Canis lupus familiaris: one gene and its partners. The protein of the gene in region 3 interacts with the protein of the main gene of each other region in a pairwise test. Links are inferred from orthologs where the notes say so. Each region holds a gene or a part of one and is shown on either strand. Other genes may lie near its edges.

Region 1 (3,500 bases), on a different chromosome or scaffold from region 3:
TTTCAATATTTAATGCCAGCTCTCAGAAGCAGTAGGTGGGAGTGTAAACTGGTACCAACTTTCTGGAAAGCATTTGGCAACATGCATCAAGAGCCTTAAGAACTCATGCTTAAAAAAAAAAAAATTCATACTTTTTGGGGCGCAGAAATATCCCCTCTAATAATCAACTAAAGGAAATAAAGATGTGGACGTAGATATAAAAGGATGGTCATCACAGTGATATTTACACTGACAAACAGCAGAAATCAACCATAAGGTCCAACACCAGGGAACTGCTTAAATAAGTTATAGTATGTCCATTACGATAGAACCCTATACAAACATGTTAAATATTTTAAAGGCCATTTAATGACATCAGGATCCAAAGTTGTGTTAAGACCTCAAAATTGTATGTGCATTATTCCCAACTTCTATATATGTACACATGTACACGTAAATTCGTAGAAAAAGGGCTGTGGCTTTAAAAATGGGTGATGAGATTATGAATGACTTATTTTGTTATTTGGGATTTTTCTAATTAGGAAGCACGTATTGCTTTCATGAGAAGGAAAAAATATATTTTAAAATAAATTTTAAGAAATATTGGGATGGGGCAGCCTGGGTGGCTCAGCTGTTTAGCGCCGCCTTCAGCCCAGGATAAGATCCTGGAGATCCAGGATTAAGTCCCACGTCACACTCCCTGCATGGAGCCTGCTTCTCCCTCTGCCTGTGTCTCTGCCTCTCTCTCTCTGTCTCTCTGTCTGTCTGTCTCTAATGAATAAATAAATAAAAGTCTTTAAAAAAAAAAAAAGAGAGAACTACAAGCAAGGCGGAAAATTATTTTTAAAAAAATATTGGGACACTTGGGGGGGCTCAGCAGTTGAGCATCTGCCTTCGGCCCAGGGCGTGATCCTGGAGTCCTGGGATCGAGTCCCCCATCAGGCTCCCTGCATGGAGCCTGCTTCTCCCTCTGCCTGTGTCTCTGCCTCTTTCTCTGTGTGTCTCTCATGAATAAATAATAAAATCTTAATTAAAAAAATGTAATGCCAGGAAAATATCTACTTTGAAGAACTGCACGTCTGACCATAAGCACAGCTGTTCTTACTGTACTCCTAGTTCTCTTTTTGCCACAGCTGCCAGAAATGCCAGAAATAATATGTCCTAGAATTGATATAATTTCTTCTTTTTCCTTCAGTTCCAAGTGTCTTCTTTTCCCCTGCCACTAGCCTTCTGTGTTATAAGTCCCTCCTCCCAAGTTCTCCAGAATCCTCGTGGCCAAAACTAACACGCTGTGCAGCCTGGGCCAGCCTTTCCAGGGAGCCCTGCCCTCTAGTAGCCACACCTCAGGGCCTCCTGCCCGTGGACTGTGAACTTTGGAGCCCTTGACCCCCATACCCTCTCTGGTCAAGCTTTTCCACGTCCTCTACCCGCATGCCGAAGATGAAGAAGTTTTCTTCTCCCGCCTCCTCTGCCATCTCTACATTGGCTCCGTCCATGGTGCCAATGGTCAGAGCTCCATTGAGCATGAACTTCATGTTGCCAGTGCCTGAGGCCTCCGTGCCTGCTGTGGAGATCTGCTCGGAGAGGTCAGCAGCTGGGATCACTGTGGGGCAGCCACAGGGTACAAGCTCAGTTCCGGGTACAGTCCCACCCCAGCTAGGGACTGTGGAGTTAGGCTGGCCATAGGTATAGCAGATTCAGAGCCCCCTCCACCCTCACCCTCCAGAAGTAACCAACTGAATCTCCATCTCACCACCAGCCTCCCCCAACTGCTTAATGATCTTGAACACCTGAAATCTAACCTGGACTCTCTCCCCACCTCCACCCCACTGTGTGTGTGTGATTTGAAGGGCAAATCTTCCCACTAATTTCAATCTTCTCTATAATTTCATTCTGTACTGCCTGAAATTACACCATCAGAGGGGGACATCCTTGTGATTTGAGGATTGTCCTCTCCCAGATTTTTCTTCCAAGTGCCAGTATGCTAAGGAACAGGTGACAGATATTCCTTCCTGGCTGAACTCCTCAGAGCCTCCCTCTGGTGGCACCCCACCTTTCTCTGCCAGCGAGACTCGGTAGTTCTCCAGGAAGATCACACGGAGGCGGTCTCCTACCACTGGGTCGTGGTTAACCACATCCCCAATGGCTGTGATGAGTTTGATGATCATCTTGGCCATGTGGTATCCAGGGGCAGCCTGTGGGGGCACAGTCTGGAGTCAGCTGCACAGCCCAGCATCCTGCCCCTATCCTGCAACCCAGCCAGGCCACCCTCAACCTGGATGCCAAAGGACCAGAGCCACAGTCTGTGGCCTGACTTCTCACCTTCCCTCCAATCATCACAGTTCGGGGCACGACAAACCTATTGGGTTCCTGCTTGATGCCTGTGGAGAAACACAGAACAGTGGGCCAGGTTTTCCCTCTTGGCAATACCTCCTGACAGCATGCATCCAGCCAGGGCCCTGGCTGAGAGATAATAGACCTGATTTGGACAGCCACTGGCTATGTAACCTCCAATCTCTCATTTCCCCCTCTCTGAGCCTCCATTTGCCCGTCTATGAAATGGAGATAATCTATGTCCCAAGAGTTGGCCCAAAGCCAAAAGAGAGACACTGAATTGGAAGTATGTAGTACACCAACAGGTGTACAGAGGGGAGCCCTGAGAGCCAGAGTGAAACCCCGCCACTCACGATTGTACAGGGTGATGATGTGGAGGCAGTTGAGGAGCTGGCGTTTATATTCATGAATTCGCTTCACCTGGATGTCGAAGAGCGAGTTGGGGTTGATATGGACTTTGTATTCCCTCTCTAGGTAGGCAGCGAACTTTAACTTGTTTTCCTGAAGGTGGGGATGGGGAAGAGCTCACCAACAGGACTTAGCCTCAGTGCCATTTCTTGCCCAGAAAGGTAGACGACGGGAGGTTCACTTGCCACCTTTCTCCACGCTGGGCCCAGAGCAGACATTGCTAATCAATGTTAGCACTCTTCCGGTGGAGTCAAATGATGCGCTCTCACCATGGACTCCAGGCAACTCCATCAGGGGCCTAAGGCTGAGGGAGAGTCAAGCTCCCTCGGCCATTCCCGACCCGGGCACCCAGCACCTCTGGCCCACTCCTTCCCACCCTGGCACAAGTGTCCCAGGTCATAGCACTGCCTACCTGCTTCACTTTGGCCACATCCCGGATAAAGGCTTCGTCATCCACGAAGGAGAGCAGTTTGCGCAGCTGGTCCAGGTCTGAGATGTAGTCCTCCCCAATGCGCTGTGGGAGATGGCTCACAGTCAAGCCTGTGCCCCTTTTTGGTTCTCCCTCCCGGAGGGGTCCCTTTCCAGCTCAGCCAAGCCCAGTCCCTGCAGACACCCCCTCCTTTTCCAGCCTCCAAGCAGGGATGCAGTGTGTGCGGGGCACTGCATTTTCCCTTCAGACCTGGGACTCTGATGGCTGACCCGCCCTGACCCCAGGGGGCCTTTCTCCTGGCCTTCTCCTCAGACATGCAATGACCTTGAGGCCCTGCTCACAATCCATG
Region 2 (2,654 bases), on a different chromosome or scaffold from region 3:
CACATCCAATACTAGAATTTCATATTAGAAAAAAACTGTTTTTTTTTTTTTTTTTTTTATATAATACAAATTACATAAAGTAAAGGTGGACATAATTATAAGTGATCCTCAACCAGAGCATAAATGTTTAGGACTTTTAGATGCATGAAAAGAACACCCACCTCAGAAGTTCTATCTTTCTACAACCCTTATTTTGGGAGGGCACCCCAATTCAGTCCTTGGTCAGGAAAAGAGAGCTCTGTAGGCCTAGCTTTACCATCCACGTCAAACACGGGTGAGGAATACCATATTCTCCACAACTAGAGCTCCATCAGGGCAGGCTGCACTACCTCCCATGCAGTCATGGGGCAAGGCACTAGGCAGCAGATCATACCACTGTTAATCAGGTGGGGAAGAGGGTGCAATCCTGCTTTCAGTACTTCACATTTGAAGAGTGCCTTGACAGTAAGGCGTAGCCCAAGGCCCTTCCCAGGAAAAGAAGCAGGCACAGGGGCCAGAACTCAGGCTCCATTTTGACCCAACGTTTATTGTCCTTTTACAACATGTCATTTTTGGTTTAGAAACTGCTTGTGATTAGTTTTCCAACATTAACTCAAAAGCATGTAAAATAAAATCAACCTACTCTCTATATAAACACCCAGCAACTGTGGCCCTTCGTCCTACTGCCCAGGTTGGGTAGAGGGAAGAAGGGAGGGCTTGGGTAGCACTGAGCGAAGTGCAGATGCTTTATTGTGGGGAGTGGCGGTGGTGCCTTGGTTCACACCCACACAGGTCTCCTGCACTGCCCCAAACTACAACAGAAATGGGTAGGCCCAAGGCCCAATTCCCTGTTGGTAATTCACTCTCCGCCTCCCAAATGAAAATCGCTTTTATTTTATCTCTTTTGTTTTGTTTTTGTTTTTTTTGTTTTTGTTTTTTTTTTTTTGCAACAGAAACCCCTGTCCAGAATCTGACTGTAGCTGAACTGTTCAGACTGAGGAATGGAGCAGGCCATGGGCACACCCCTGGTCCCTCCTGGGCAAGCGCCCCCACCCTCAGGGAACAAGGTCCAACCAGGCCAGCTCGCTGCATGCTGGCCACCACCACTTAGCCATACAGGTCATCGTCATTGTCTTCTGTGTATACACTGCCACCTGTGCCGCCTCCACTGCCCTGACTGGGGCCAGCTCCACCCTGGTTTCCTGAAGGGAATCTGCATGCACAAAAGCAGAGCCAAAAAAGAGAGTTAGGATAGGGCCTATGTAGGATTTTCACAACTAACCCCAGCCTCCTTAGGACTCCCACAACCTTGGCTGTACAGTTACCCAAGACAACTTAAGTATTGCCCACTATAACGTGATTACCTGAAGCTGCCAAAGCCCCGACTCTGCTGAAGGGTCTGAGCAAACATCTCATACTTCCGAATGTCATTGTCACTGACAGAACGGCGGGCAAAGCGCATGGCTTCCTCAAAGTGATCTCGGCGGATCTCAGGCACTGGATCATCTTCTTCTACCTCCTATAAGGTTGGTAAACACAGACCACCAGGGCTAAAGTCCAGCTTGGATTCTTCCCCTGGCCTTCCTGCCCCCATCCCTGTCTCTCTAAACCAACCTGAATAAGTTGCAAGGCCAATCTTCCTAAAACTAAGTCAGTGCACTATGTTTAAAAACCTGTCAATGCATTATGGAAAAGGCCAAACTGTATGGACAAAATCACATTAGTGGTTGCCAAGGGCTTAGGGTGGAAAAAAAGGTGACTAAAGTAGCATAAGGGAACTTTCTGGGATGACAGAAATTTATCTGAACTGTGGTAATAGTTATAGAACTTAAATGCATTTGTCAAGATACATGGAGGCACTATACCTAAAAGGGTGAATTTTACTATCTGTGAATCATATCAATAAACTTAAATTTTAAAAATAAAGTTTCTAAAACAAGATAAACTAAACCACCTAAATTTTATTTTATTTTATTTATTTTTTTTTTAACCACCTAAATTTTAAAAAGATAAAATAACTTTTAGCGCTTACCAAACCCGGATTACACCTTACCTAGTGGCTTCACCTCTAGTAACATATGCCCTCTTAAATCTACCCAGGTTTTTCCCAATTCCCACAATCCTATTTCCTGAGCCAGTTATTTGAGCTGCTTATTTCCTTAGCCCTTATAGTCTCTCTTCATAAATCAGCTCAAACCCCATCTCTTCCACTAAGAAGCCTCTCCAGGAAAAAATTAGAGAAGGTGACAAAACATGAGAGACTTCTAACTCTGGGAAACGAACAAGGGGTAATGGAAGGGGAGGCGGTGGGGGGATGGGTGGGGGGATGGGTGAGGGGACGGGCACGGAGAAGGGCACTTGACAGGATGAGCATTAGGTGTTGTATGTTGGCAAACTGAACTTCAATTTATTTTTTTTTTTTTTTTTTTTTTTTTTTTTGAACTTCAATTTAAAAAAAATTTTTTTAATTAAAAAAAAAAGCCACTTCAATTGCTATGACTTATGAGATTGCTCCGTAGGATTAAGTGTTATCAATGGGTTCTAAGCTTTTATGGGAGGGAGAAGGAATGTCTCAGAACTCCTACAAAAGATAAAGTCATTCATTCATTTATTCATTTATTCATTTTTTAACATGGTGCCAAAATACACCGGAAAACATGCAAGATGATACAGAT
Region 3 (4,179 bases):
AGAACAGCCCTCCACAACATTAGCACGTTCCACATGTCAATAAAGCCATGGGTGAGAAACCCTGGGTTAGGGCATAGAAGGCAGGCTCAAAATAAGATTGCAGAAACACAAGTGACCAGATCTCTGAATATGCTCAGGAGACAGACTTTACTGTTTATGCCTATATTCCTGAAAACGTGATCAATGGACGAGTGTAAGACTCCTCCACTGTACTGTTTACACACCAAGACTCTCTGGAGTAGAACCCTAAGATCTGCACACTTTACAAGCTCCCAAGTGATTCTATGGCTCATTTGAATTTAGAACGACTTTTAGCAGTGTGAAGCCAGTTAAGGTTTAGGACCTGAGGGAATAGGAAACAGATCTGGGCAGAGTCCTATAAGGAAGGGCTGGAACAGGCCCCTGACAGCCGAGGAGGGCTCAGCCCACAGCTGAAGGAACTTAATTAAGGGAGGCCATCTATTGAAGAGATATCCATTCCGACCATTCTTCCAGCAGACCACTGCACTCTCGCTGTACGAGCCACCTTGTTCCTAGAATACTCCTGCACACTTCGTTCTCAGAGCCTTTGCACCACTGCTCCCCTGCCTGGGATGATTTTCCTCCAATATCCACAAAGCTCCCACCGGTTTTTTTTTCTTCAGATCTCTGCTCAAATACCACTTTACCAACAACGCCTTCCCTAAATATCCATTATAAAAGTGAGTCACCATCCCTTACCTTTATTTTTTCATAGCACTTAACACCAAACATGGTTTTACGTGGTTTTGCCTGCTTTCCCTGAACCAAAATATTAAGAACCATAAGATCTTAACTAGGGAATCTATTTTCTGCTGTCTCCCAAGTGCCCACAATTGTAATATCACACAGTCCACATGCCTAATAAACATCAGATGAACAAGTAAAATAATGAATGGGTGCTAGGGACAAAAACTAATAGGATTTAGGTGAGAGGTAAGGCAGTACTAAAGTACAGTCTTTAAGAATCATGGACTCCTGTACTACAGTTCCAATTTCAGCCCTGCCTCTTGCTACACGTGTGACCTTGGACATGGCTTGTCTGTGGCTCATTCTTTTCGTTAATAAAATGAGGTAAATGACAGAACCTATCTCGGAGCCATGGATGGAAACACTTGACACTAGCCCTGACATGCAGTCAGAGCGGAACAGATGTAAATTGGTGACATGGTTTGACCGCCAGCTAAAGGAGGAAAAGGTAGTTTTAGATGGGCCTAAGGTTTCTTTTGCAACTGAAAGTTGGGGAAGAAGTCATTAATTACTCAAGTGTACGAGCGAAAAAGACAGAGGTAGGAGTGGTGATTTGGTCACACAGGTGGCCTAGGCCAAGGGGATAGTGTGTGGACTCCAGAGCCAAACCCTGCAGGTAAATCCCCATTTCTTCACTTACTAGACAGGATGGCCTTATGCAAATTAGTTGCACCCTCTGTGCTTCGATGTTCTCATCTTTAAAACGGGGGTAACAATAACACCTACCCCCGCTCAAATGAATTGGTTTACATAAGCCAATCAAAACAGTGTTTGGGGGGATCCCTGGGTGGCTCAGCGGTTTAGTGCCTGCCTTTGGCCCAGGGCGCGATCCCGAAGTTCCGGGATCAAGCCCCACGTCGGGCTCCCTGCATGGAGCCTGCTTCTCCCTCTGCCTATGTCTCTGCCTCTCTCTCTATGTCTATCATGAATAAATAAATAAATCTTTAAAAAAAAAAAAAAAAAGGGATCCCTGGGTGGCGCAGCGGTTTGGCGCCTGCCTTTGGCCCGGGGCGGATCCTGGAGACCCGGGATTGAGTCCCACGTCGGGGTCCCGGTGCATGGAGCCTGCTTCTCCCTCTGCCTGTGTCTCTGCCTCTCTCTCTCTCTGTGACTATCATAAATAAATAAAATTTTTTAAAAAATTAAAAAAAAAAAAGTGTTTGGGGGGGCACCTGGGTGGCTCAGTGGTTGTTGCCGGGAGTTCTGGGATCCATCCATCGAGTCCCACATCGGGCCCGCAGGGAGCCTGCCCCCCCCCCCGAATAAATAAGATCTTAAAAAAAACAAACAAACAAGTGGCATACAGCAAGTGCTATGTAAATACAATGGGCACGATCAGGACAACATGGTGGTTAAGCTCATGGTTTCTGGTACAAGAAGGCCTGAATTGGATTCCTGGCTGCTATTAGCCGATGACCTTGGAAAGTTACTGCAAAATCTCCGCTCTCCCATTCTCTTCCTAAAATTAAAATGACCTTTCACATCAGTGGGGAAACCACAAAGGCTTCAGCAGGATAATCCGCAACGGTTCTCTGCGCTCCACCCTCCGCCTCCAACTCCCCTTTCCTGGCCCCCAGGCACTGAGATCTGCCGACAAAAGTCCAAGCGAAAGGCTTCGGGCATTAGTAATGCACCACCGAGCCCACCCCCTGGGAATCCGCCCCCGCCCCGTGCCTGCGCTCCTCTCAAGGGCCGAGGGCTGCCATTCCCGCTCCCTCAGCCCCCACGCGGGAACCTCGCCGGACGAGACCCAGAGCGCCCCCAGGGAGGGGCCGGGAAGAGGCGGGGCCCGGCCGCGACGCCGAGACCGCGGGAGCCGGGATGCCGGGGGCTGCGCCCGCGCCCCCTCACCAGTAGCAGCTGTTGTAGACGCAGGCGTCCCGCGGGGGGCTGGCCGGCTGGTAGCGGGCGGCGGCGGCGGCGGGGACATCCCCCTCCATGGCGGGCTGGCTGGGGCCCGGGCACGGCCTGAGGCGAAGCGACTGCACCAGCCCCGCGGGCAGGCTTCGGGGGAGGAGCCGGCGTTCGGCGCGCGGCGCGGGCCTCCCGGGCGGAGCCTGAGGCGGGGGTGCAGTTCCCTCCCGGGCGGTGGAGCCAGGGACCCGGCGGGCGGAGCCTGGGTGGAGCGAGCGACGCAGCTTCCGGGCGCGCGCCGCCAGGGAGGGCGGTGCCAGTTCCGGGTGGACGGAGCCGGGGGCCGCGCGGGCTCCGGCGGTTCCGGTGGGCGGGGCCTGGAGGGAAGCGCCGAGCGGGTTCCGGGAGCGTGGAGGCCGGGCCAAGTGGGCGGATCCAGGGCGGCGAACGGCGTGGGTCTCCAGTGGGCGGGGCCTGGGGCGAGGAGGATGACGTAATTCCTGGGGGCGGGGCCTGGGGCGGAGCTGGGCGGCTGGGGCGGGGCCGGGCGTGCCCCGCGAGACTGAGGTCAGCGTGGAGAGGGCAGAGGTCACCCGCAGGTCGCTCGGAGGAGTGGGGGCAGAGCGTGGGGTTGGTCAACCGCCCAACCCTAAATGGCGCTTCGGGGATCTCCCGGAGGCGTCGGAGGCCCTCTTCCAGCCCGGGTCTGGGGTTGCCAACAGCCGTGGAGGAACCAGAAGAGACGCCAAATGAGAGAACCTTGTATGTAAAAAACGGAGCTTTAGCAGTTTTTTCCTAGAGGCCGCGGGAGCGCAGGGGCAGGGGGGACCGAATTCCAAATACGTCCGGGGCCAGCCACCCCGAAGCTCACCGCGCTGTGACAAGTTTTTATTAGAATTGTGTACGTTGACCCAGAAAAATATAGTGATTCTTGGTAAAGTTTTTAAAAGTTTAAAAGGAGTCCTCATGGCATTCATTTCGTGTTAATCATATTTTTATTTGCCAGCAGCCTGGAAGGAAAGACCCCAAATTATTAAAACGGTATTTATCTTTGATGAATGAATGATATGAAGGACTCTCACTTTATACTTAATAGCCTTCTGAATTGTCTTAGACTAGTAATGAGCATGCATAACTCATCAGGGTACTTCCCATGATAAAAACTTAAATTCTTAGTCTGTTCATAGGCTATCTGCAGTCAGGCTTTCCCAATGTCAGGAGTTCGAAAGCCCATATGTAAATCCTAAACACTTTGAGCATATGTCGTTGTGTCAGTTATCAAGGCATTGCCTCTCAGCTCTGAACACACTTCGACATAGGCTCTGTGATAAATAGCAATTACTTTGAGCATTTCTCCTTCAAAGCGGGCACCAAGTTAAGCCTTCTGAGTAAAGTATGCTGGAGGAAGAAGCTCCTTGCAGTTTCTAGAGCAGTACAAGAGTTGGGAGTGTGATCCTGAGTACATCCTGTGGGGTCTGCCCCAGCCACAGGTTCAAACCCAGTTCCTCTGTGACCTTACAGCCCAAATTTGGCAATAACCTTCCTACAGCCCTCTTA
Region 4 (4,004 bases), on a different chromosome or scaffold from region 3:
AAGGTGCCCACAGAGGAGGCGCTATTTCCTAAAGGCAAGAGAACAGAGAGAGCTAAGATGTGACCTGGCCCCACCAGGTGGCATAGGCCTAGCTTGTGGTGTAGCGGAGAGAGTGGACACTGGCCTGCTTTCAACCCCCTATCTAGCTCTGCCATTACTGGAGAGGCTGCTGGGGCTCAAGTTTCCCATGCCTATACAATCCCTACCTCACACTAGCATTGCCCAGTGCCTGCCACATGACCAAACCAGTGCTCAGTCACTATTTTTCCTCCCCTTGTTAACCAGGTCAATTTCCCCTGAGTCATGCACAATTTCATTTGGGGAGGTCTAACGAGTACACTGGTCCCTTCACAGTCCTGGTGGTGGCACAGTCCAGATAATCTAAATTTATAGACACCCACACCCCTCCCTCACAGTTTCAGCCTAGAGCATCCTGGCAGGTGTCTGAAACTTGGTGTATGACTTGGGTCTCCCTGGCAGGTGTACCCATGAGGGGTATACATTCCGTGCCCTCCGTGCCCTCCAAAACCACAACAGCAGCACCAAGTCCTGCAGTGCAGGAAGTGAATGGCCCCAGAACAAGCTTGAGCCTTCTTAAACCACCCCCCAGGTTCTGTTCACCTTCTCTCCTCCTTCAGGCTGGCCTATCTCTGGGACCTACGCGGGGAGAGTTGTACTAGGTATAGACAGAAGACTTTTTCCAATCTCTTTATCACATGACCACTATTTCAAATCCTATTCCTGGGGCACCTGGATGGTTCAGTGGTTGAGAATCTGCCTTTGGCTCAGGTCATGATCCCGGGGGGCCCCTGAGTCCCACCCACATCAGGCTCCTTGTGGGGAGCCTGCTTCTCCCATTGTCTGTATCTCTGCCTCTCTCTCTCTCTCTCTCACGAATAAATAAAATCTTAAAAAAAAAATCCTATTCCTGCCCCTATCCCCAACCTCACCCTCAGGTTGGCACCCTCTTCCTGTCCCTTAGTGAGGCTGTGAACAAACCAAAGGCACAACACCCACCCTCAGGGGAGTAGTGGCCAGCAGAACTACATGGCATTTCAGTGGAAAGAATCAGACCTAAAGCAAGGTTCCTTGAGCTGTAGGAACCCTGTGGGCAAGCCATCCTGTCTAATGATCAGGACAAAGTAGCTTATAGTCTAGGCTTCATGAGCTGAAACTGATGAAGTGGCTGCTCACTACAAAGTTATAAGGATAAGGGGAAAACAAAGAGCCAGAATGTTCTTTTGTCCTGTCTTTCCCTCCTACTGAATATACTTGCCCAGACTGTTACAATTATCTCCACCTATTGAAAGAATGACAGAGTTCTTCTTTGTCATCTTGTTCTTCACAAAATCCTTAAGATACGGCTTTAGAAAACATGTATATATCATTTTGTTATGTGTACTAGATATAATTATGTAGTTATATATTATATATGTAATTATATATTAAATATATGTTACTATAAATAAATAAGTATATATATAGGATGCCCACTGGTACTCGATCCTGTTCCTACACACCCTGTACCTCGCTTTCAGGTAGTTACCTCTGCATTGGATTCCTCCAGCCTACATTTCAGCCCCTCTGGTTGCACAGCCATGATCTTCCAACAGTGCCTTAGGTGACTCTAGAGAAGCAAGGCTGCCCCTTTGTGACATAGCAGCAGGAGAAACAATCCAGTCAGGAGAACCCCACCAAGGAAACGGCTGCTTAGCAGGACAACACCTGAGACTCTCCAGACTGTCAAGACTTCATCCGTTTACGGGCCTCCTTTCTGAGTTCCCCTTCCACTCTGTCTTTGTATCCAGCAGGCCTCAATTCCCTTGGCACCTCCAAATCACCCTGTACCTCTTGGTCCACGTCCTGGGCTTTCTACTCATGGATTCAGTCATATGCATTTGGTTCCAAGTCTCAGTTCTAATTCTCTCCCAGAAATCCGGAATGGTTGTACAATAGCAAGCACCAAAACATTGAAGTCTGGGAAGAATGTGGCTTACTTCAGAGTGTCATAGAAACTGTAAGCATTATGAGGGCTGAGAGGTCTTACCAGGTCACCGAACCCACCTTCCTCATTTGAGGGATGACAAACTGAAGACCCAGAGTAGCTAAGTGAATTCCCCTTGGCACACAGCTAGTTGGCAACTAGAGGTCCCGACTACCCTGTTCATTCTACAATATCTTGCTACAGTCTTGAAAGAGGAGGGTTATTCCGGTTACAAGGAAGTTGCACCCTTCTGTGATTATCCCTACCTGAGGCAGAACCACATTGATTGGAATTTCTAGGCTTTCAGATCTGGTATCTCTTTTTCTTGCAATACTTGGCCTCGAGTGCTGTGGGAAAAGAGAAAATAAAACGATATCTGCTTCCCAGCCCATCCTCTGAGCTTCAATTGCTCAATCTGAAAAACAGATGACTTTCTATTCACTTATCCCCTCTTGTCAACTATGTACATTATGAAAATCTGAGTCTGAAACAATGTGAAGATAGTATCTGAAAAGATGCTTATCAATCTCTAGACAGAAATTAAGACAGATTTTATAGTTGGTGTTAAAAACCTTCCAAAAAGTCTTTGGAGCAGAGATACCCATACCTAATACCTTTTCTAAGGTTATTACTTCTATCTCAAGTAAAAAGCCATACCAATGTTAGGTGCCAGGTATAGGTCCTATGTAGGAGTTGGTCACCAAAACACTCAGAACATTCCAGAGGTGACATCACAAAAAAATACGGTGTTTTTCAGGGCTCATGGTCTCTCTGAGCATCACAGGTGGGAATGAGGCACCTGACAGGAAGAGTCACCCTGGTTATGTCTACCTGGCTGGTCAGGGTCAGTGTGACACACAATAACCCAAACATTAGCCCCCTATTTGGTCATCTTTGCTACTATTCATATCGCCACTGCCTGGCTGGGCTGTAAGCCCTACCTTCTCTCTAGAGCTAGCATCTTCTACTTGGAGAAATCCAAACTGAACTCATTTCAGACCAAGAGAAGCCACGGAGTCTGAGATATTTTCTGACACCAACCAATTCTCCAATTCTCTGAGGCCAACTGTATGTCCTATAATTCAATTCAATTCTTAGACAATCTACTTGGAGTGGGTGTCAGGTCACCTAAGTTAAAGGCCTCAGTCCCACAAGACTGCCTACACCAGACTTTAGACACCAGTCACAACTCTCAGGCCACGAGTATTTCTGAATGACCAGCTATGAATTGGCGGGGGTCCTACAAACCCCTCCGCACCTCTGTAATTTGCTAGGATAGCTAACAGAACTCAGGAAAACACCTTACTTACAATTACTTTTGTTATAAAAGATGCAGCTCAGAAACAGCCAAATAGAAGATGCTTAAGTCAAGGTATAGGGGGAGAAGGACATGGAGCTTCCACACCCTCACAGGTCATACCATCCTCCCAGCTTCTCCATGTGTTCACCAACCCAGAAGCTCTCCTAACCCTATTAAGGGTTTTTATGGAGGTTTCATTACCTGGTCGAGGTTGATTAAATCACTGGCCATTGGTGATTAAAGATTTCCAGCCCAACCCACCCCCCATCCCCCATTTCCCAGAAGTGGAGAGGTGAAATACTTGAAAGTTCCCAACCTCTAATCACATAGTTGATTCTTCTAGCAACTAGTGCCCATCCTGAAGCCATCTAGGGGCCACCAAGGGTCACTTCATTAGCATAAAGTCAGGTGTGTTCGGGGGCACTCCTTGTGAATAATAAAATCCTGCTTTAAATTCTTTTGGATATATACCCAGAAGTGGGATTGCTGGATTATATACAGTTTTATTTTTAATTTTTTGAAGAATTTCCATACTGTTTTCCCGTAGCTGCTGTGCCATCCTTTTACATTCCCATCAACAGCTCACAAAGGTTCCAGTTTTTCCACATCCCTGTCAAAGCCTGTTTTCTGTTTCTCCAAGGGTTTCTAGTGATTAACTCTCACACCACTGGAAAACTCAGTTCAGCTTTCCCTTATAGATGCACCTCATAGAAGCACCTG
Region 5 (4,097 bases), on a different chromosome or scaffold from region 3:
TTCTCCAGAACACAGAAAGAATCTGGATTCCAGAGTGGGAATTGGGTCGGGGGACCCTTCTCCTAGAGCAGGGACTCAGCCTGGGAACAGTGGGCTCCAGGGAGCTAGGGTCCTGGCAATTCTCCGCCTTTCCCCAGGGCTGGGGGTCCGGTGGGGGGGGGCGGTAATGGAGGAGAGCCAGCTCTCATGTAGGCCAACATGATTCTCCTCCTGTCAGGTCCAAGAGAGGAAGGCAGCCAAAAGCTGTTATTTCTAAAAAGTCTTATGGGAGAAGAGCTGCTGGAGGAGAGAGGGACAAGATAGGTCTGAACGGAGGAGATGTCTGACCCCTTGAGGTGAGAGGCTCCTACAGGCCTTCAGGGCTGAAATATTCCACTCAGGCTCCTGGGAATGAGAATAAGCTCTAATGGGGCCCAAGAGGTCTAAGGCCCCAAAATAGCCTATGGGAGGAGGGGTTACCGCAGGAAGGGGTGGGGGCTGGGAGGACCATGAGGCCTCAGGGGTCATGGCTGACAACTAGGCCTGAGCTCCCTGGTTCCACCCTACTTGGGATGGAGATGCATTGGTGAGCTCCACTCACCACCCCAGCCCCAGGGTCCATCTCCTGGGCCACGGCCAGGACACTAGTCAAACTTCCTCCTCAGGCAGAGACCAGCCTCCTCATTGGTCTGCCTGCTGCCAGACTCACTCTCCCATCCCTCCCTTACGGGGCCCCAGAGCGATCTTGCTCGAATGAAATGGGACTAATGGTTTTCTTCCTTTTTAAAAAGCAGGTTGACTTTTTCTTTCAATGGACTCCTGGGAGAACCCCAATATGTAAATTAGATATTGCTATAGTTTCTTAGCATAAATGTATGTTACTAGTTCATTCATACATTCATACAAAAAATTTTATTTACTTATTTGTTATTTACTTATGTTTATTTTGTCAACCAATGGAAACAGCACGGTTGTATAAGTAATAAATTTGAAACTTGGGGGTTAGGCTGCCCGTGCAGACTTAAACTTCATTGTCTAGTCAATCTGTTCCGGTGTTGGTTGGTGTGTGCACACAGTATTGAGAAAGTCCTGAGTCACACCAATAAGTGGTTGCAAGTGGTAAAAAAATTTTTGCTTTGTTTTAAACTACGGGCCTCAAGGTACTCAGCAACAATAATTGCCAGCAATCTCAAGATAAACTTCTAGTAAACAGTTTATAGGAAAAGCTTTAATCTGAAGTTTACTAAAAACAACAAAAACACCTAATCAACCTGCAGTATAAATTAGTATACTGGTGTAATCAATCGAAGGTGCTAAGATGTCCATCTAATGCATTAGAGTGAATTGAGTTTTATTACACGTTTTTAATTGTTTAGGGGGTAGTTTAAAGAAAAAGGAAAATAAATTGGATCCATAAGTGTTCAGACCTCCAGAAACATGGGGCCCTAGTGGAAACTCGTTTTAAAACCCCTAACCTCATTGAACACCTAGGCTCCTTAGTATGGCATTCAAGGCCTTGTGTGGGATCTCTGGCATCCCTCCCATGTGTCTTCCAAAGATCCTGCATTCTCCTACTCAGGTTCAAAGTCAGCCCCAAGGCTTTAGGGGCTTGTTTCCCTGTCTGCCTGGGAAATGCTGCATACCCAGGCTTCACGGTGAGCTCAAAGGCTAGGAGCTCAAAGGCTAGGTCTGCAGAGCCTTCCTCAGTGGCAGTCACTCACTCTTGTTTGCTCCCTCCGCTGCATGTAGGGTGTTTGCTTTGAGCGCTCACCATGTCCCGGTCTCCCCCAGCCCCCGTGAGCTCCTGAGGCAGGGACTCAACCAAATTCATCTCCCAGTTCCCACTGCTGAGCAGAGCCTAGAGATGCTGCAGGGAATGACTGTGGAGTGACTGTTGCCCCCTTCCTGGGGAAGGGCCCTTGGAGGGAAGCAGCAGGATGCTTTAAGGTCAGGCGGGAACCGTCTAGAGGATGCCTCTGGGCCAACCTCCTGCTCAGTCCCCTTCCCAAGCTCGGAGAGCTCGGAATGCGCAAGGCCCAGGGACAGCCGGGACATCAGGGATCTGACCGATGGCAAGAGGAGCTCTCGCCTCTGTGTGGGTCTCCCAGGGCTGAGACGGCCGGGGGGCCCGGGGGCGCTGATGCGCCCTGCGATGGGCGCGGAGGCCCGGGCTGTGGCGCAGAGCCCAGCGCCGCTCCTTCCCTGAGGACGCAGGCGGCGCAGCAGCCGGAGCCGGAGCGCAGGGCCTTGAGCCAGAAGCCCGAACGCAGGCGCCGGGTCCGGAGCCCGAAGCCCAGTGGGGGCACCTGAGCGCCCCGCGAGGGGCCGGGTTTCCAGAGTCGGTTACCCGAGCCCGGGCCGCGCACCCGCTCCGCCGCCAAGTGCAGTGGGCGCGCCCCGGCCGCCCGCTCGCGCAGGAGCCGGGCCGAGGACGGCGTGGGGGAGGGGGCCCTGGCGGGGAACCCGAGCCCCGGGGACAAGAAGACACCGGCGCGCAGCTCCCAAAATAAACGCGAGCCGGCGCCAAAGGCCCGGCACATTCTGGGGCGGAGGAGCCGCGTCCCCCCCGGGCGCTGCCTCGGGCCCCTCCGGGGACTGCCGCCCCTCCCGCGGAGCCCCCTCCCCTGCCCTCCTCCGTCCCCAGGCCCTGCTGTTACCGATTTGGGTTTCTTCTTGGGCGCGAGGTTGTCGTAGAAAGTCTTGCTCTCCTCCCAGCCCGGGGCCGCCGCGGTCTCTGCCCCCGGGCCGGGCTCGCGGGGCGCCCGGGGCTCCCCGGGTTCCATGCTCCGGAGGCCACCGGGCGGGCGGGAGCGGCGGCGGGGACGCGGCGCTGGCGGGGCTGCGCTGCTGCAGGAGGCGCGTCCCGGGCGTGGGAAGGGGGCGGGCCGCGGCGGGGAGGGTGCGCGCGCGGGCCGCGGGGGGGCGGGGGCCGGGGCTCGCCAAACTCGCCCTCCCCGCTGCGGGCGTGCTGCTGCCGCTGGATGTCCCTGCGGGGCAGCTGACTCCCCAAGTGAATGCGGGGCGGGGGGCGGGCACTAGGGAGGCTTTGGCGTGTCGGGCTCCCAGGAGGAGGGGCCCCGGAGCAGGCTTGTGGGCTGCGGCGGATTCGGGATTTCGGGGATCAGGGGCACCGACAGAGGAGAGGCCTGACAACTTTTCTTCCCAGGATGGTGATCCTCCAAGGGGAAAATGGAAACCTTAGCCTCCCCCCACCCGCCCAAAGCTAAGTCCCTGGGAATCCGATGGCCGACCCTAGTCCATCCTGCGGAGGGAGAGGGTGGCGGGTGGACAGCTCCGTCCTCGAGCAGGACCCGGCGCCCAGCCCGCCGCACCACAGCGGGCCCAGCTGGCAGCTACTCCCCACCAAGGCGGAAGGACGTTTGAAGTCAGTGGCGACACCGGGGCCCCTCGGCCTGGCGGGGGACCCTTACCGGGGAGACACCCGGGGACTCTGAACCCACGTTCTTGCTGGCCCCTTGACGGCCAGTAGGGGGCTCGCGCTCACAGGTTCCACCTGCAGAGCTCGGGCGGTTCTGAAGCTGAAGCGGCTTAGAGAGGGAGGGTAGGAAAGGGGCTTGGGAAGCAAAGCCTGTTGGACCACCATCCCTGTGCCCTCCTGGTGCGGAGCCCGGGGTGCAGCCACTAATGCCACCGAGGCATAGATCAGGAAGCAGAAGGGGCATCTCTGCGGGAGCCTCGAGGTCGGCACAGGTGTACGGGAGCAGCAGAACATACTGGAGGGCATGTGGCTGGAAGGGGGTACAGAATGGAGGCATAGGCCCAGCCTCCACCATGTCCTGGGGTGGGGGAAACCAACCAAACCTCGTGTGGGAGGAAGGGGGAAACAATAAAAACTTTTAGGATTGGGGTAAGTGTGTTTAGACTTGTCCTTCTCCAGATTCGATAGATTGTTTCCATGGATGGCCCCCAACTCTCTCTAGTGTGCCTGCCCCTTGGCGATGTGAGTTGGTCACACAGACCTGGATGAGCCTTCGCAGGCTGCAGCGATGGGCACCATATGGCTAAGATTGGGGAGACACTCTGTGAGCAGAATGAGCTGATCAGCAGAAAAAGATGGGAAAAGATGTGCAGAGGGCAGCAGAGACGCCCTGCAAGAG
Region 6 (3,018 bases), on a different chromosome or scaffold from region 3:
ACTTCAATATTGTTGTGTCTCTGGAAATAGGGAGACACCCAAAGAGAGGGAGAGAGACCGGGAAAGTCTGGTCGATGGAGCAGTCAGAGCACACACAACATTAATTGATTAAGTTTGCGATCTTATACGGATGTAGTTTGTGGACCCCCAAAACGATTATAGTAGTAACATCAAAGATCACTGATCACAGACCAGCATAACAAACATAATAATAATGAAAAAGTTGGAAATATTGCAAAAATTACCAAAACGTGACGTGAAGATGTGAAGTAAGCAAATGCTGTTGGAAAATTGGCACCAGTAACCGTACTCTACTGAGGGCTGGCACAAACCTTCAGCCTATAAAAAATATCTGCAAAGTGCAGTAAAATGAAGCACAGTAAAATGAGGTGTGCCTGCACTTTGTCCATGAGGATAGAGCTCTCTCTGTGGGACCCTTGCCTGTCCCCTGACCCCTTACTGAACTGAACTCCTTCTTGGATCCATATATGTCACCCTGTGATGCACACGCACACTCACATACGTACTTGTGCTTCCTGTCACCCACAGGTGTACACAAGTGTGCATGCTCCCAGACTTGCACGATCATGCTCACTGGCATGCACACTCTTGTGTGCCCACCCCCTCACAGGTCACACACATATAGTTGCACACACTCACACATATACACACATACACACATTACCTCCGCAACTGAACTCGTGGTGCTGGCATTCATTCCCACCCCAGAGGCTCACAGGAGAGACTGTGCCAGGGCAGCAGGTCTGTCACCCACCCTGCTCAACCTGAGCCACCCCAGCCCATGCCTCCCCTGGAAATCACAAAGGCACCTGGCCCAAAGAGCAAGTCCAGGCTTTATCCAAGTGAGCTGGCTTCCTGGGCTGAGTCCGTGCAGCTACAAAATGCCTGTGTACTCATCCCTGTCAGTTCCTCATTTATACAAAATGCAACAAAGCAAGCAACTCACACTTGATGACAGCGCAGGATGCATCGATCCCTTTTTCATTTAGCATCCCTTATCAACAACCATTAATTGAGCATCTGTTGTGTGCCAGACGCCAGGCTGGATGCTGGGGATTCAAGGAAAGCGGCTCTGGCCCCTGTCCTCAAGGGCTCTCGGTCCAGCAGGCAGGCAGATGCACAGATCAGCATGTGCAGCAGGGGAAGACGCTTGCTCTCACGGGGACCCGAGCCAGGGCCAGGGAGGCCAGGAGGCATCCTGGGGCTGACGGCACTGTCCCTGTGCTGTCCTTATGGTTGATGGCCACTATCTCTGAGCCTCCTGTGCGGCACACGCACACTAGCTCCCCACTTCCCTCCTTTCCTCTTTTGCCTTCAGCATTTGCTCTGTCCGGGGGACAGCTAGGGCCTCCCCTGATGGGGCAGAGGGACTGTGAGGGAACGGATGTGTCGGCGTGAAGCATGGAAATCACACTTCAGCCCATGGGGCTTGGTCTCTGTGGTCCCGTTGGTCCCCGTGCTCCCGCAGGCGGCTGCAGCCTCCTCCCTTGCCCCGACCCCCCTGGCCCAGTGAATCTCAAATTCATTGCCTTCCAGCAGAATCGCTGCTTGATTGTTTCCTGTTCTCCCCATGCAGACAACTGTCGGAGGAAAATGCCAACCTGCAGGAATATGTGGAGAAAGAAACCCAGGAGAAGAAGAGATTGAGCCGAACCAACGAAGAGCTGCTTTGGAAGCTCCAAACTGGGGACCCAACCAGCCCGGTTAAACTCTCGCCCACGTCCCCCGTCTACCGTGGCTCCTCCTCGGGGCCCTCCTCGCCCGCCAGAGTCAGCGCGACGCCCAGATGACCCACCCAGCGCTTCCACCCGGACGGACGGACGGAGTCTTGACCGGGCTGGCCCTGCGCGCATGCTCAGTAGCTGCATAGCTGCATCCTAAGCAAAGTCCTCTTCTGATCCTCATATAAGACTGTCCTGGTGTTGGCACTTAGGAAAGTGTAAACGGTAGTGTCTGATGTGCAAACGTTTGACCGTAGTTAGAGCCAAAAGAAAGGAAGAAACTCCAGTTGTTCTTGAGCAATGAACTTTCACTGCAGAATTTCAGGTTCGTTACAAATAGCTCAGTTTTGAATATACATTGAATAATCCTTGTGTACTGCACCGATATGTGTGTATATTTAGATATACGTATATACACATGCAGCGGTTCTGAATTGCATTTTTTATAACATGAAGTGCTGACATATTTTGGTGAAGGTCAGCAGTTTTCTAACTTGTGCCTAAGAATTATTGGGATATGAAAATGCATTTCTATCTAGCTTCCCAGGAATATTTCTACCCAAAATAGAAAAAGGAAAAAAAAAAAAAAGATAGAGAAGAAGCGCCTTTCAACCTACCACCAAGTGGTACTCTAACACAAACACCAGCGATTTGTGAACAGTAACTGCCTTTGGAACAGTCAGCTTCTTAGTCAACATGATGTGAGGTCACTATTATTCCATTCGCAAGTTTTACTTATTAATACTCCTGTCGTGAGTGCCTAAGGGATAGCAGTGGGAAATCCTGAGGGGTTTAGCGGTTTGCAGATGCTTCTCACGACAGTGAATCATCTACAGTCTTGTAAACACAAGATTTGCTTTTTTCCTAAGTGACATCTTAGAATCCATCATTAAGCTACTACACCCTTGGGAAAATATGGAAGAACATAACCTTCTGGAGTGAGGGTGAGGATGACCTTGGAGCTGGCCAAGACCATCCGCGCTCTGTCCTCCAGAAGGAAAACTGCTGGTAGGATCTGTATCTTGATTGAGCACAGAGTAGGAAGGCATCCTCTGGCATCCCATGTGGTGTGCTCCAATGTGATTCTATAAATTCTATAAATCAAAATATGACCCTCAGGCCCCCACTTCATAGACAACCATCCCCCCTCATCAGTTTGGTCCTATAACTCAACCCCATAACTGTACATTGAGATGGCTCAGGGGTTCTTGCAGGGGCTTCCAGAAAACTGACCCTTCCATCCGGGGGATCACTTTGCAGCTGTGCTCGATCATCA
Region 7 (4,226 bases), on a different chromosome or scaffold from region 3:
TGTGAGTTTGAGCCCTACCTGAGGTATAGAGATTACTTAAAAAACAAAACAGGGCAGCCTGGGTGGCTCAGTGGTTTAGCACCGCCTTCAGTCTAGGGCGTGATTAGGAGCAGACCGTGATAGTTCAGTGTATACAATTATAATCTCATTGGGATCCCTGGGTGGCTCAGGGGTTTAGCGCGCCTGCCTCTGGCCCAGGGTGTGATCCTGGAGACCTGGGATCAAGTCCCACATGGGGCTCCCCGCATGGAGCCTGCTTCTCCCTCTGCCTGTGTCTCTGCCTCTCTCTCTTCCTGTGTCTCTCTCATGAATAAATAAATAAAATATTTTAAAAAACAAAACAAGGGCACGAGGTAGCTCAGTCAGTTAAGCATCCAACGCTTGATTTTGGCTCAGGTTATGACCTCAGGGTCCTGGAATTAAGCCCCACAATGGGCTCTAGATCAGCTCTGGGTCTGCCTGTGATTCTTTCTCCCTCTGCCCCTCCCCCTGCCCACATGTGCCTTCACATGCACACTCTAAATAAATAAAATCTTTGAAGAGTGAATTGTTAAAAAACAAAAAAACATATACTGTACTAACTATTGTTAGTCTGTGACAAGCAATTGCCAGACTTCATGCTGAATGGTTTTTGAGACCTCAGGATTTCTAGTTATCAGGTGGTGGCTATAAAATACTCAAAACCAAATAAAACAGAGTTAAAACAAACACGCAATTGTATTTCAATGTCTCAATGAGTTCCAGCCAACAGTACATACAGTATCTTGGGCAGAAATGCAACAGTAACATCTCTAAGCTGGATTAACTCTGCTCCTGGAGCACCAAAGGACTGCACTGCCCTGGGGAAACAGGGAAGACCAACATACTTGCTTTCAAAATCTACTTCACCCAGAAATTTCTCCTCTAGTTACAGGATGCCACCTGGTGAACAAAACCTCGTATCCCATTCTCCGTCTAGCTGCTGAAGCTTGAATAGGGCTGGCCAGATACAACAACATTGACACCTAGCTATAGTAGCCTTTTCCAGAGCCCTCCACGCCATCCTCCCAGACTTCTGTATTAAACCCTTCCTGCAAAGCGGAAATCTTGGCAAGGGCCGCCCGCACATCTACCACCTGTTACTCATTCACGAGCGATCTCTCCTTGCTGGCCTTATCAACAGGACTGTCTGTGTGGTGATTTCCCACCTGGAGGAAGGGCTGCACATAGCCTATAAAGCTGACTCTAAAACACCATCCTCCCCAGATGTATTAATATTCATGAACTCCTCAGCGTCTAAAAAATTTCTGTCTACTCCAAAAGTCCTCAAGGTCTTCTCCCTCGTTTTTTCTTTTCTTTTTTTTTAAAGATTTTTATTTGTTTATTCATGAGAGATGCAGAGAGAGAGAGGCAGAGACTCAGGCAGAGGGAGAAGCAGGCTCCATGCAGGGAGCCCGACGTGGGACTCGATCCCAGGACCCCGGGATCACGCCCTGGGCCGAAGGCGGCGCTAAACCGCTGAGCCACCCAGGGATCCCCTCTCCCTCGTTTTCTTCTGGAAATGTTTAGTTCCAGGCTTCACATGTACGTCTGCGATCCGTCTCAAGTTAATTTCTGAAACAGTGGGAAGCATGGATGGGTTTTGCTGTCGTTTTGGCAGCTCGCTCCGCTTGTGGAAAGTGGTGGTAGCCCTGGACCTGTGCCAGAGCGAGAAGTGATCGGTAACCGCGGGCGCGCTGGATCCTTCGGGAAGGAGCTAAATAGGAGCTACTTGAAACTGGTTCAGAGCTTTGTGGACTCAGGCAGGTGGAAACCGGAGCCCGTCCCGCTTGTGAGGCGGGCCGCCGGCCTGGCGACCGCGGCTGCTGCACCGAGACCCGGGTGGCAGTCACGCTGGGCCACGGCCTTGCCCTGGACCCCGCCGAGGCGCACAACCACGACGATGATGAAAGCCATCAGCTTTGAGGCAGAAAAATTCGAGGAAGCCCCGGGAAGCAGCACGTGCGCCCGGGCGCTCTCACGCTCCGTAAAGGCTCCGCACCAACACGCCCTGCGGGTAAGCCCGCGGGCTGCACCCCGGCTGCTGGGGACTCACCCGGGGGCTTGGAAAAGGCCCCCGCCCCCGCCCGCAGAGCAGAAGCTCCGGGGCAGGGAGGGGAAGCGGCTTTTTAAACGGCCCCCAGGTGAATCCGGCGCGCGGCCCGGGCTGGGGACGTGGGCGGAGCCGTCGGTCGCACGCCCGGGGCTTGGGACCCGCCCGGAGGGGACCGGGAAACCGGACTCGCACGCCCAGGGCCGTCCCTAGCCGCGTGCCCTGCACCCAAGCGGTTCCCGCCGGCGGCGCCCACCTCGCCCCGACGCTGCGGGCGCCCCGAGGTCGCCCTTCCGGGCCAGGGGCCGCCCTCCTCCGCGTCTCCCGGGCGCCGCAGCGGTGGCGCGGAGGCCGCGTCGTGAGCGTCCCGCCCCGGAAGGGGGAGCGGGCGGCCGCGGAGTGGTCCCCGGGGGGGGAGGTGGCGAGGTGCAGCGGGGCGACGGTCCCCGCCCGGCCCCGCGGCAGCGCGCCCAGTGCCCTCCCCGGCCCGGCCCGGCCGCCGGCGCGGCCCCCCACCTGGTCTCCTGGTTGCTGAACTTCTTAGTGACCACCTTGCCCAGTTCCAGGCCCAGCCGGTCGGCCACGCGCTGGGACAGGTCCTGGTGCGAGCTACCGCTGAAGAGCACGATGTTGGGCATGGCGGAGGCGGCGGTGGCACCGGAGGCTGCGACGCGAGCGGGAAAGCGCGGCTGTCGACCAAAGGAGGAGCGCAGGGGAAAGGAGCTGGAGGGGGCGGAGCTGGAGGGGGCGGAGTCGGGGCGGGGCTCGAGGGGGCGGGGCGGTGGAGCGGGAAGGCGCCGCGGCGGGACCGGAGAGGGGCGGGGCTGGAGGGGGCGGGGCTGGAGGGGGTGGAGTCGGGGCGGGACTCGAGGGGCGGGGCGCAGGAGCGGGAAGGCGCCGCGGCGGGACCGAAGAGGGGCGGGGCTGGAGGGGGCGGAGTCGGGGCGGGGCTGGAGGGGGCGGAGTCGGGGCGGGGCTGGAGGGGCGGGGCGGAGGAGCGGGAAAGCGCCGCGGCGGGACCGGAGAGGGGCGGGGCTGGAGGGGGCGGAGTCGGGGCGGGGCTCGAGGGGCGGGGCGGAGGAGCGGGAAAGCGCCGCGGCGGGACGGGAGCGGGGCGGAGCTAGAGGGGGCGGAGCTGCGGTAGGACGGGCGGCAGACCGGGAGCACTTGACCCCGTTCTTGACCTTTCTGCCCTGCCTGGAGGTGCCGGACTAATTGGACACCGAGGGAGGGTGCAGGAGGAGGCGACCGACGTGCCCGGCAACCGCAAGCGACCCCTCGACCCGGAATACCCCAAACCCATTGCAGACGACCGGTGTGCAGCTACGGGGGGCTGCAAAACTGCGGCCCGCGGGCCAGGTGCCCGGCGCTGCCTGTTCCTACCGGAGAGCTAAGCATTGCTTTGACACAAGAACCTTCGCAATCTGCGTGATCACAGCTGTACGACGTTCGCAACCCAATTGAGAAAAAAAAAATCCCCTTCAAAAAACAAACACAAAAACCCCAAAACCCTTTCCTCTCATTAGTGGCTGTGTACTGCAAAAAGTTGTACCAAATTATTATGTTTTGTCAATAAAAATGTTGCAAACATGTGTTTTCTCTCGTTATGGAAGTACCTACATAATAATCTCTCCATTTTGCTTTGTAGCCCACAAAGCCTAAATTATTTATTATCTAGTCTTGAGTCAAAATTATCTGATGCCTGAACTACAGGATTACCCTTTGTCCTTGAAAAAGCCAGGATGCCAGTGGCCATCTGAGCCCTGACCACAGATGGAGGGGCAAGGTTGCTCTCCTTAATGACGGTAAATTGGATCAAACCAAGCCTCCTCCATATTCCTCATTTGTAGGTACCCATCCGGCCAGCTTTGCAACTTCCTGCCTTTTGGGTTCTCAAACGCCTGACCCTAGGGACCTCACCCCCAGCGCCCCAACTCCCACCAGATGGTCCCCAGTCACAGCTCTCCATACCCCTGCAGCGGGCTGCCTTCCCCTCTCTCCGGGCAGGCCAGAGCAAAAAAAAAAAAAAAAAAAGGTTTTCTCAAGCAAATGCAGTCCTAGAGCCAACCCTTGTGCACAAATCAAATGTAGGGGAAAGGAATGTATTACGTGGGAACGGAGGACCAGCGTGTTAGTGATGCTGGCCAATTTAATG

The links.
Region 1: the proteins of NTAQ1 (region 3) and PYGM interact in binary tests that used the Homo sapiens proteins (3 or more experiments, as listed by UniProt). The two-hybrid records come from large-scale screens. The link is inferred for Canis lupus familiaris from reciprocal best matches to the Homo sapiens genes NTAQ1 and PYGM.
Region 2: the proteins of NTAQ1 (region 3) and VCP interact in binary tests that used the Homo sapiens proteins (3 or more experiments, as listed by UniProt). The two-hybrid records come from large-scale screens. The link is inferred for Canis lupus familiaris from reciprocal best matches to the Homo sapiens genes NTAQ1 and VCP.
Region 4: the proteins of NTAQ1 (region 3) and CBY2 interact in binary tests that used the Homo sapiens proteins (3 or more experiments, as listed by UniProt). The two-hybrid records come from large-scale screens. The link is inferred for Canis lupus familiaris from reciprocal best matches to the Homo sapiens genes NTAQ1 and CBY2.
Region 5: the proteins of NTAQ1 (region 3) and NT5C1A interact in binary tests that used the Homo sapiens proteins (3 or more experiments, as listed by UniProt). The two-hybrid records come from large-scale screens. The link is inferred for Canis lupus familiaris from reciprocal best matches to the Homo sapiens genes NTAQ1 and NT5C1A.
Region 6: the proteins of NTAQ1 (region 3) and MTUS2 interact in binary tests that used the Homo sapiens proteins (3 or more experiments, as listed by UniProt). The two-hybrid records come from large-scale screens. The link is inferred for Canis lupus familiaris from reciprocal best matches to the Homo sapiens genes NTAQ1 and MTUS2.
Region 7: the proteins of NTAQ1 (region 3) and PRPS2 interact in binary tests that used the Homo sapiens proteins (3 or more experiments, as listed by UniProt). The two-hybrid records come from large-scale screens. The link is inferred for Canis lupus familiaris from reciprocal best matches to the Homo sapiens genes NTAQ1 and PRPS2.

The regions. Positions count from the first base shown.
Region 1 is NC_049239.1:52,911,184-52,914,683, reverse strand, and holds part of PYGM (glycogen phosphorylase, muscle form), read right to left. Parts: intron 3,236-3,500; coding exon 3,134-3,235; intron 2,815-3,133; coding exon 2,667-2,814; intron 2,361-2,666; coding exon 2,302-2,360; intron 2,175-2,301; coding exon 2,033-2,174; intron 1,583-2,032; coding exon 1,375-1,582; intron 1-1,374. UniProt on the Homo sapiens protein: Allosteric enzyme that catalyzes the rate-limiting step in glycogen catabolism, the phosphorolytic cleavage of glycogen to produce glucose-1-phosphate, and plays a central role in maintaining cellular and organismal glucose homeostasis.
Region 2 is NC_049232.1:51,932,994-51,935,647, forward strand, and holds the end of VCP (transitional endoplasmic reticulum ATPase), read right to left. Parts: intron 1,499-2,654; coding exon 1,344-1,498; intron 1,193-1,343; coding exon 1,087-1,192; 3' UTR 501-1,086; downstream 1-500. UniProt on the Homo sapiens protein: Necessary for the fragmentation of Golgi stacks during mitosis and for their reassembly after mitosis. Involved in the formation of the transitional endoplasmic reticulum (tER).
Region 3 is NC_049234.1:22,155,355-22,159,533, reverse strand, and holds the start of NTAQ1 (protein N-terminal glutamine amidohydrolase), read right to left. Parts: upstream 2,801-4,179; 5' UTR 2,709-2,800; coding exon 2,620-2,708; intron 1-2,619. UniProt on the Homo sapiens protein: Mediates the side-chain deamidation of N-terminal glutamine residues to glutamate, an important step in N-end rule pathway of protein degradation.
Region 4 is NC_049243.1:5,417,093-5,421,096, forward strand, and holds the start of CBY2 (protein chibby homolog 2), read right to left. Parts: upstream 2,801-4,004; 5' UTR 2,717-2,800; coding exon 2,642-2,716; intron 2,332-2,641; coding exon 2,251-2,331; intron 1,648-2,250; exon of another isoform or gene 1,601-1,647; coding exon of another isoform or gene 1,547-1,600; intron 1-1,546.
Region 5 is NC_049236.1:3,281,409-3,285,505, reverse strand, and holds the start of NT5C1A (cytosolic 5'-nucleotidase 1A), read right to left. Parts: upstream 2,801-4,097; 5' UTR 2,763-2,800; coding exon 2,637-2,762; intron 1-2,636.
Region 6 is NC_049246.1:10,425,575-10,428,592, reverse strand, and holds the end of MTUS2 (microtubule-associated tumor suppressor candidate 2), read left to right. Parts: intron 1-1,597; coding exon 1,598-1,811; 3' UTR 1,812-2,518; downstream 2,519-3,018. UniProt on the Homo sapiens protein: Binds microtubules. Together with MAPRE1 may target the microtubule depolymerase KIF2C to the plus-end of microtubules. May regulate the dynamics of microtubules at their growing distal tip.
Region 7 is NC_049260.1:9,248,135-9,252,360, reverse strand, and holds the start of PRPS2 (ribose-phosphate pyrophosphokinase 2), read right to left. Parts: upstream 2,801-4,226; 5' UTR 2,710-2,800; coding exon 2,588-2,709; intron 1-2,587. UniProt on the Homo sapiens protein: Catalyzes the synthesis of phosphoribosylpyrophosphate (PRPP) that is essential for nucleotide synthesis.